2 linked regions of the Coturnix japonica genome follow. The protein of the gene in region 1 interacts with the protein of each later gene in a biochemical or structural test. Links are inferred from orthologs where the notes say so. Each region holds a gene or a part of one and is shown on either strand. Other genes may lie near its edges.

Region 1 (4,284 bases):
TTTGTGTTTCTTCTATCAAGCAGCAAAGAATTACGGGGTGTTTGACTTTCTCTGAGCCTGCTGCCCACAGGGGGGAGAGCTGGAGCGTGGCGTGGCCCGACAGGAGGACACGGAGCTCCAAGGGCGCTGTGCGCGCATGGCGCTGAAGATGGCTGCTTTTCTCCCCCTAGCGGAAGACGCCCTGAGAGGGGAGCCGGGCCCAGCCTTACATGAATTTTAAATCCCTTTGTAGTTGCCTTTCAGCCAATGTCTGAATGTTCCAGGGCTTCACTGCCTGTGGGGAATGGGGAGATGGTGCCCTTTGCCTCCCCTTCTTGCCCCGGCCTTAGGGAAGAGCACTCCTTCCCCCTGCCCTGTCCTTGGCACTGGGGCCATGCCCCCTGCCTTACTTCCTATGGGACTTGTAGAATTCAGGGCTATGGGGTGAGTGCTCACTTGGCCCAAAGAAGCCTAGAGAGGGCCTCTGCCCTGCTCTTTGCCCCCGTCACTTGCAAGGGCAGTCCTTGGGGCAGCTGTGGCTCTGCCATTGCAACACCACACAGCAGTGGGACCTTTTTGAGAGCTGAGAATGCAGCCAGTGAGTGAGGGAAGGCACACTATGGGGGAACACAGTGTTTGTGTGCAGAGAGGGGCAGCACTGACCTTACCCTGCTCCATTCCCTGTGTGCGATGCTTGGGAGGGACGTGAGCTTTGTGGGCAGTGCTTGCAGCTCCTCTGGGCTCACACAGAGCTGTGGGTCACTTGCTCCAGCCCTCCTCATCCTTTTTCCTCCTCTCACGGCCGCTCAGAGCTGCTCCTCTCCACTCCTGCTGGGCCGTGGGGAGGAGATGTGGGTCCATGCTCCCTTAGCGCCCTCCTGTTGTCTCCTTCACTCTTTCTGTTTGTGGTTCTCTTACACTCTGGAGATAAAATGTGTTTCACTCCTGAGCTCTGTATTATACCCTCCAGCCTGCCCCATGTGCCCTCCCCGCTTGCTCACACCTCTTTCCATGCACATGGGGCTCAGTGTGGTGGCACTGCCCAACTGCCCCCTGTAACCCCTGGTCCCTCTCACTGCCTCTCCTCACCCTGCCCTACTCACTGGATTTTACAAAAACAGAACCATTCTCCTTGTTTTTATTTATAAACATAGTTTTATTGGACTCCTGCCTCGCGTTTTGTTTTGGACCATTCTGCTTCCCACTCCCTGCCACATCCCGCTGTGTAGGGGTGCTGGCTGTTCTCCATTGGGATATACAATGTGTGTGCCCATGCATGGTGTCAGCCTCATATATGCCCATAAATGCCCATACTGTGCAGTGGGGACCAGCGGGGCCGTGCAGGGTGAGGGCGGCCTCCCCTTACAGCCCCATATTGAGGCCTAGCTGCTCTGTGCCGTCCCCCACGAACTACAACTCCCAGCGCGTCCGCGCCTCAGGACTACATCTCCCAGCATGCACCGCGCGGATCAGTCCTTCCCGCCTCCACGCTTGACGCATGCGCAGTGCCAGCGGGGCGCGGGCAGCGCATGCGCGGCGGCGGCTCTGCAGTGCTAGGGGGGGCGCTGAGGGACGGGGGGGCGGCAGCCGCCATCTTGGGCGCTGGGCGGCGAGCGGCGGCGGGCGGCGGCAGGTGAGGCGGCGTGCTGCCATGGGGCCGAGCGGCCTGGTTTGGCTCCCTGTGGGGCTGTGGGGCTCTATCTGTGTTGGGCTGGGTGACCGGCCGGGGTTCGGCGGGCAGCGGCCGTTCCCTCAACGCTCGGGGCCGGGGGTCCGCGGGCCTCCTCGGTGCGGCTGTGACAGCGCCGGGCCGCCTCCCCTCAGCGCTCGGGGCTCGGCCGCAGTTCACGGGGCGGCGGGGCTGCGCGGCAGGACTGTGCTCGGCCCCGGGGGATGGATGGGATGGATGGGATGGATGGGATGGATGGATGGATGGATGGATGGGATGCGACCGGCTCTAAACCCGCCGGGCTCGGGCGTTTCTTGGAGCGGTGGGGTCGGAGCGGCGGCCCTGGGGGGTCGGGTGGGCTCGGTGCGGCACACGGAGCCTGGGGAACGGCCCCGGCTACGTGCCGGGTCAGCCCGAACAAAGGTCCTTTAATCGGATCAGCGGGAACTTCCCCGGGAATCATTCAGCCGATGGGACGGGGCTTCGCTCGGCCGTGGCTTGTCACCTCCAGCTTCCTCTATGGAAAAGCTGCTGGGCGCAGAGCGCCTCTGGTGATGCTGTGCTGAAGCGTAAAGAGGGCCTCTATCCAGCAGCGCCTATGGATGCGGTTCCTCTTCCTTCCTTCCTCGGGCTGGGCTTTGGATCCTGCAGAGCTGCAGGAAAAGCTGCCTTGTTTGTCGCCCTGTGCAGCTGATCGCTGGCCCCACCGGGAAATGACTCCCCGTCAGCTGTGTGATCTCTGTTTTCTCCTCACTTCAGGATGACAAAGCTGCCCTGAGTTTTTAGCCTAAGGCTTTCGGAATCTGAGCCTGGAACGTTCCCAGATAAGCACATCTGAGTGGCTTCAGTAGCTCAGAGCTCTGGTTGTGTTGGATTTGTATCCACATTTAGGCTTATGCGGGTACATAAGTTGTTGGGCACCATTAATGTGAATGCAGCGCTGCAGTTACTGCTTTTTTTTGCCTTATAGTAAAAATTAGACTTGTCCCAGTGAGTTGCTTGCAGGGACAACCTCCAGCCTGATGAGATGCATCCCAGCTGCCTGCTGCCATATTTTCCTTGTCAGAGCGGGGGCATCGTTCATCTTCTGCGGGCAGAGCCATGTTACTGACATCTAGTGACAGAGATACCCGGCGTCCTTTGGGCTGTATTTTCTTCCATATGATGTGATGTCTCCATAGGATATTATGGCCGGCTTCTCCCCTTCTCTCGAGACAGCACATTCCTGGTCTTTGAAGAGCTGAGTCTTGAGGGTACAAAGGGTCATATCTGCAGCTTTTTGAAGCAGAGATAGAGGATTCTTTCTGGGCTATCTCAGGGTTTGTGTGTGTCTTTTTGTTTGCTTCACGTGACCCTGGTTAAACTTTTCTTGGCCTCTTGGTGCAGAGGTGAGATGAAGCTAATCTAGTGCAGCACAGTGTCTTGCATCAGTTTCCTGAGCTTGTACAGCTGAAGGCTGTGAATATGCTCTAAGCTGGAGGGCTGTGTGGTGCTTTAATAACGAGGCCTGTCGTGTTTCCCTGTGTCAGGGTTTCTCTCATCCTCTATAAGCTGATGGCGTGCAGCACGGCACGCAGAGGCTGTAGGAGGGGAGCCTGCTTAGTGTTCAACGTGCTTCTCTTCCTGCCCACTGCTTGTGGGGATTTGTGGGATTGGGTTTAAAATTGGAACGCTTCCTCTGACACCGATGGGCTTATCTCGGGAGCTCTTTAGCTCACATTATGTGTCTTAATTAAATTACACGGCCTGTGTTCCCCAGGATTGCGGCTACTCTTCTTTAAAACCAGGTGTGGCCCGTGGCCTCCTGGACAGTGGCTAATGCAGCGCTATAAGCAAAGCTTAGGTGCTCAGATTAGCTGCTGCGTGATGACATTCGAGGTAAGCCTTAAGCCTGTCGGTTTGATAACAGCTAGTGCTAGCTTGAAAAGACTAGTTTCTTAAATAGCTTGTTTGCCAGAGCAGCCTGACTAATCCGCCTCCTGCTTCTACTGCTGTCATTTGTCCAAGATCACAGTGACTGCTGGAATGCACAAACCGTTACAGTTGGTTTGCCCTTGGTCCTGGGAGAGCTGCAGCACCTCTCCTGGCTTCTTCCTGGATGAGAGCTCCAGCAGCTAATGTACCTCAAACTGCTTAGCTGGATAAGCTCGCTAATGCACAGAAGTCTTACTTACTGTTAAGTCTGAACCCAAACTTTCTTTTAATAGACTGCTAAATGGGTTGGTGCTCTGTGCCAGCTTATCGACTGACTTGTGGCTGCTGCTTCCAAGATGGACTCTGTACGTAATAAACGCTCTTCTTTTCATTCAAGGTGATATCAGGGCTGCAAGGAAATTCCAGGAAGGTGTTTTTCTTCTGGTGTGGATGCTGCACTTAGTGCATTGTGTCTGTGCTCCCAGGTCAGCCACATGCTGCACCTCAGAATTGAAGCTGCTGACAGCCTGGCATCAGGACACTGCTTTGCTGAGCTGCGTTCCAAGTGCGTGGCACAATGTAGGTGTGAAAGGGCAAAGTCTGGCTTTTAAAGGAACACCCGGCATTAGAGCTGTCATGCATTCAAACACACATCCCAGCAGTTTGTTTTTGTACACGATCCTTTTTGTAGCAGACTTTTAAGATGGTGACTTTGCTACCAA
Region 2 (4,946 bases), on another chromosome or scaffold:
AACCCCAAGTGGCAGCCACCCCGTGAGAGCACAGCTTTCATCGGCTTCCTGAAGGAACGGGTGCACCGGGACAGCAGTGTGGCACTGGCCCAGCAGGCTGTGCTCCCCGAAAACGCCCTCTTCAGCTCCATCCAGTCCCTGCAGTCCGAGTCAGAGGTGCCCAAGATGGTGGGGAATGTGGGAAGGTCCTGGAGTGCTGGCAAAGTGTGATAATCAGGCCTTCGGGACAGACTTTGTCCTTATCTGGGCTGTGTCCAGGGGTGCAATATGATGGATCAGCACTCACTGGGACTAATTCTGGCTCTTTAAGGAAGGGCAGCTGGGTTTCCTGTGCCCTGTGAAGTGGGAAAGGGACTAAAGAGAGCTGGGATCCTTCAGTTTTGTCTCAGTGGTGGGGGTTTTGTCTCCAAGTCTGTGCAGGCAGTGATTCTCTTTCTCTTTTGTCTCTGCAGCCTCACAGCCTGATTGCCAATGTGATAGCAGGCTCCTCAGTGCTGGGATTCCACATGGGCCGTGATGGACAGGCCTCTCGTCATCTCTCCGAAGTGGCTTCAGCCCTGCGTTCCTTCTCCCCACTCCAGTCTGCCCAGCAGCCCTCTGGTGGCTTTCAGACAACAGGAAGGGATGGAGAGGGAACCCAGCCTCGTGGTTCCAGTGCCATGACAGCCTCTGGGTAAGAGCATGCGGTGGCCTTCACTGCCTGACCCTAGAGCAGAGAGAGGCTTGGTGGTATCTGCAGCCACATAAACATCACTCTTGTTTCCCATGGCAGTGCTGATGCGAGGACTGTGAGCTCGGGGAGCAGTGCCTGGGAGGGTCAGCTGCAGAGCATGATCCTGTCAGAGTATGCCTCCACTGAGATGAGTCTCCACGCACTCTACATGCATGAGGTGAGTTGAGCTAACCAGAGGGGATGTGGGCCCAGGGCAGGCAGGACTGGAGTGCCCTGCTTTGGGTGGCTTGGATTGGCTGGAAGAGCCTTGCTGGGGAGAGGGTGCATTGGGGCATCTGTAGCTGACCCACCTGTATCTTGGCTGTGCAGTTGCACAAGCAGCATGCCCAGATGGAGCCCGAGCGGCACACCTGGCACCGGCGAGAGAGTGACGAGAGTGGTGAGAGCACCCATGAGGAGCTGGATGCTCAGCGAGGTGCCCCCGTCCCCCTCCCTCGCTCTGCCAGTTACCCCTTCTCATCTCGGCAGCCTGCTGAGGAGACAGCCACGTTGCAGACGGGCTTCCAGCGACGGTATGGCGGCATCACAGGTATGGGAGCCGGAGCAGAGGTCTGAACCTTCTGGTCACAGTCCCGTAACCCTTGTCCTGTAATACTGGCACAAGCAACATGCTTGTCTCTGAAGACTGACAGCCCCCCAGGTAGCTGATCCTCCTTGCCTTTCCTACAGACCCAGGCACAGTGCACAGAGCCCCATCACACTTCTCCCGCCTCCCACTGGGAGGCTGGGCTGAGGATGGGCAGTCAGCGAGACACCCAGAGCCTGTGCCAGAGGAGAGCTCAGAGGATGAGCTTCCACCGCAGATCCACAAGGTAAGGGAGGAGGCTGTGGCAGACAGGGGCAGCAGGTGCTCTGGATGTCAGGCTGCAGACCAGCTGCCAGCAGCCCTTAAATGCTGAAGTCCTGTCTCTGTCTTGCAGGTATAGCCTTGCAGACCGGGGATCTCGTGGGGGTTGCAGACTGGAAGCCACCTGGGCAGCAGGATGTGGTGTCAGCCCAATTCCTCTCCTATCCCGAGGGGATAGGATGGTCATGGGCTCCATTTTGTTGCCATCGATTGCTGATGAGACAAAACTGCCAGGCCAGCAGCTTTGCGGTGGCGCCTTGTGTCCAGCCGTGTGTCAAGCCAACGTCACTCTGACTCTTGTGGGGTGAATGCGTGTGTGAGTACATACATGTGTCTGTGTTCACATCTGTGTCGTCCGTGTCGGAGGATCACTGCAGAGCCGCTGACAGAGCTGTGGATGGGCTTGGAGGTGGCAATGGCAGCTGCTGTTTGAAGGGATGTGACAAGGCAGCAGCTCCAGATGTCCGCCCGGAGCTGGGACCTGCCTTCGAAATGAAAGCAGGGATGGCTGGCAGCAGTGGGAGCTGTCGGAGCTGCCTTGCTCAGTCTGTAGCAGTGCTGGAACCACACCTGCAGCCCTGGGGAAGTGCCCTGCGCCATGTTCCACCTCGTGGAGAGGATCAATGTTGCACACCTCAGTCTGGAACGGGACAGCGGTGGGGCCCACCCCTCTCTGTGCACATGTGTGCTGCCCTGACACCCTGCAGCAGGATGATCCTCAGCTGCTGCTGTGTGTGTAGGGTTGGGAATAGCTCTGCTGCAGCTCCATCCCCAGCTCTCGTGACACCTGCCCTGTCCCAGGCATACAGGAGAGGGGTCCGTGGAGTGGCAGTCCTGGGTCTCTGTCCCTCCCCACTGGCAGCCCCCTGTGCCAGCCCTCTGTCCTGGGCTAGAATAGCACTTCCTGACCTGCATGGTGCTCGGTTGATGGGCTGCTCCCAGGCCCTCTCGCAGTGCCAAAGAGCTGGTGCAGCCTGATGTCCCCTGGGAGTGCACGTAGCCTGCTCGCAGCCCACAGTGAAGGTCTTGTGCTCTGTGCGCTGATTCCCTTCCCCCAGGCATCATAAAGGCCTTTTTCCTATGCCCGGTCTGTGATGCGTCAGGCCTGTTCTGTGATATCAGCCCTTTCCTCCTGCCCTAACAATGGCTTCAGTGTGTCCTGCCTCTCACCCAGGGGCTCCTGGCTCCTTTCCTTCCTTCCTGAAATCTTTTTGCGAGGATTGCTGTGGAGACCATAAGCTGAGCAGCTGCCTCATGTCATGTCATGGAGGGGGCAGGGAAGAAGGGGTACCTTGAACCCTGAAGTGAGAGGCAAACCACAGCCCAACCTTGATGTGATGGAAGGGTGTGAATCAGGATCTTGGCTTTACAGCACGGCCTTGGCCAGCCCTTCGCTCGGATCGTGCTGTTTTCCCTCATCTCTTGCAGTGGCTGCTTGCGAGGACCTACATCTCAGCTGCCCTTGCCCGGCTTTATTCCACCTCCCTGGCTCTTGTTGCCTGCAGGAGAGACTCCTTGCTTTTTCTATGCCCTGCCCTTCCCCTTCCTGGAGCACAGGTGACCTTTCTCTCCCTGCCAGGCTATTGCCCCGTGCCCTTTGTGCCTGGTGCAGCAGCAGGGACAGGAGGGAGGGGATGGCAAGCAGGGCTGGCTCTGCACCTCACATCCGTGGGCTGCCCTGCTGGTTGTAACTGCAGCCGTTCTAACACCCTTTATTTCCCTGCCTCCATGGGAACCGTAAGCGATGGTGATGTCCTTTGTGCTGCCTGGGCTCCCTCTAGGCACAGTGGGCAGTGCTTGGAGCCTGCAATACACAGTGAGGGGGTTTCAGAGGCTGTGCTCTGGAGGGAAGGAGAGCCCTTTTGCTGGGCTAATGGGAAGGACAGGCAGGGCAGGAGTCCTCGCTGCATGTTGTGCTTGTGTCGTCGGTGTCCCCTGTGCATGGCGAGCCGCAATTCTACATCTCCTTCCTGGGTCGGTGGGCCCGGGGCGCCCAGGGGGGGTGGTGCTGCAGCCCCGCGCCCTCACTGTACAGCTGTCTTGCCATCCAATAAAGATGGGCTGTGTCATCTGTCTGCCTATGAGTGTCACAGCGGCGTGGGGGGGCAGCGATGGTGCCGGGCACCCCGGTGCCCGCGGAGCGTGATTGTAAGGCGGTGAGGAGCCAAACCGGCCGGATTTAGGGCTCAATTTACTGGGACCACGCGGGGGGGGGGGCAGAGCCGCCGTGCCGCAGCAGCGAGGGGGCCTCGAAGGGACTCGGATCCGTGCGGTGAAGGAGCAGCAGCTGAGCGCCCGTCGGGCCGGCGGCCAGAGGGAGCTATAAATACCGGCAGCGCTCCGTCCTGCCCGACCTCTAACAGCGCGCCGGGCTATCGCCGTGCCGCACAACCGGGCTGCTCGTCGCGATAAGCAGCGCCGGCTCCGGTCCCCCACGGCGACACCCCACCTGGGAGCGCTTCGGGGGCGGGGTGGGACGCGATCCGTGGAGCCGGGGGACGGGGGGAAGGAAGGAAGGCCGTGCTGCGGGGCGGGGAGCGGGGCGGGGAGCGGAGCGGGGCGGTGCTACGGCCTGCGGGAGGCACGGGGAGCGGAGCGGAGCGGGGCAGGTGAGCGGGACAGGGGCTCGGGGGGCGGCGGGACGGCGGGCATGGGAACGGGAACGGGAACGGGAACGGGAACGGCGGAGCGGTCGGAGCCGCGATGCGCTCGGGAAGCGGCCCCTGCGCGGCTCCCACGGCGCCGGTGCCGGCCCGGCGTGTCCCTGCGCGTTGCCGGCGTTACTCGGTGTATTTCCTCGTGCGTTGTCCCGTGCTTTATCCTGCGTTTTCTCCACGCGTTGCCCCTTGTTTTTCCCCACGCAGTGCTCTGCCGTTCCCCACGTGTCACCCCTGCGTTCCCCGCCGCGTTCCCCACCCGCAGAGCGCTCGGGAGCATCCCCCTGCCCGGAGCGGTGCCTCTGTATCCCTGCAACGGTGGCAGCGCTGAGCGCTCACTGACCCGACGTCCAAGTGCACGGGGTGACTCTCCCCCCAACCTTTCTCCCCCTTCAAGCCACCAAGTGCAGTGCCAGGCCACAGAGCTGACCCCAACCGCTGCTCATGCTCTGCTGCACACAGAGTGTGTCCCACATGGGTTCACCCCCACCACTGCCCCCTGCCTGGCCGTGCCATCCTGCCCTACAGTTGCAGCCTTGCAGCACCCTGAGACCCCATCTTCTTCTCTCTAGCCACAGACCGGCCAGGATGGCGTTGCTGGAGGGATACTGCGAGCCCAACAGCTCCATGGCACAGGCCTGGGTGCAGCAGGGCTTCCAGCCCTGTTTCTTCTTCACGCTGGTGCCGGCCGTGCTGTTGAGTGTCTGCC

The links. The genes of interacting proteins can lie anywhere in the genome.
Region 2: the proteins of AP2M1 (region 1) and ATG9A interact in a biophysical measurement, tested with the Homo sapiens proteins (4 studies listed by BioGRID and IntAct, with this or other methods). The link is inferred for Coturnix japonica from reciprocal best matches to the Homo sapiens genes AP2M1 and ATG9A.

The regions. Positions count from the first base shown.
Region 1 is NC_029524.1:13,826,203-13,830,486, forward strand, and holds the start of AP2M1 (AP-2 complex subunit mu), read left to right. Parts: upstream 1-1,484; 5' UTR 1,485-1,612; intron 1,613-4,284. Other genes in the region: DVL3 (segment polarity protein dishevelled homolog DVL-3), read left to right, coding at 24-55.
Region 2 is NC_029522.1:24,495,924-24,500,869, reverse strand, and holds the end of ATG9A (autophagy-related protein 9A), read left to right. Parts: coding exon 1-156; intron 157-452; coding exon 453-673; intron 674-772; coding exon 773-890; intron 891-1,042; coding exon 1,043-1,262; intron 1,263-1,402; coding exon 1,403-1,545; intron 1,546-1,653; coding exon 1,654-1,659; 3' UTR 1,660-3,651; downstream 3,652-4,946. Other genes in the region: ABCB6 (ATP-binding cassette sub-family B member 6, mitochondrial), read left to right, coding at 4,826-4,946. UniProt on the Homo sapiens protein: Phospholipid scramblase involved in autophagy by mediating autophagosomal membrane expansion. Cycles between the preautophagosomal structure/phagophore assembly site (PAS) and the cytoplasmic vesicle pool and supplies membrane for the growing autophagosome.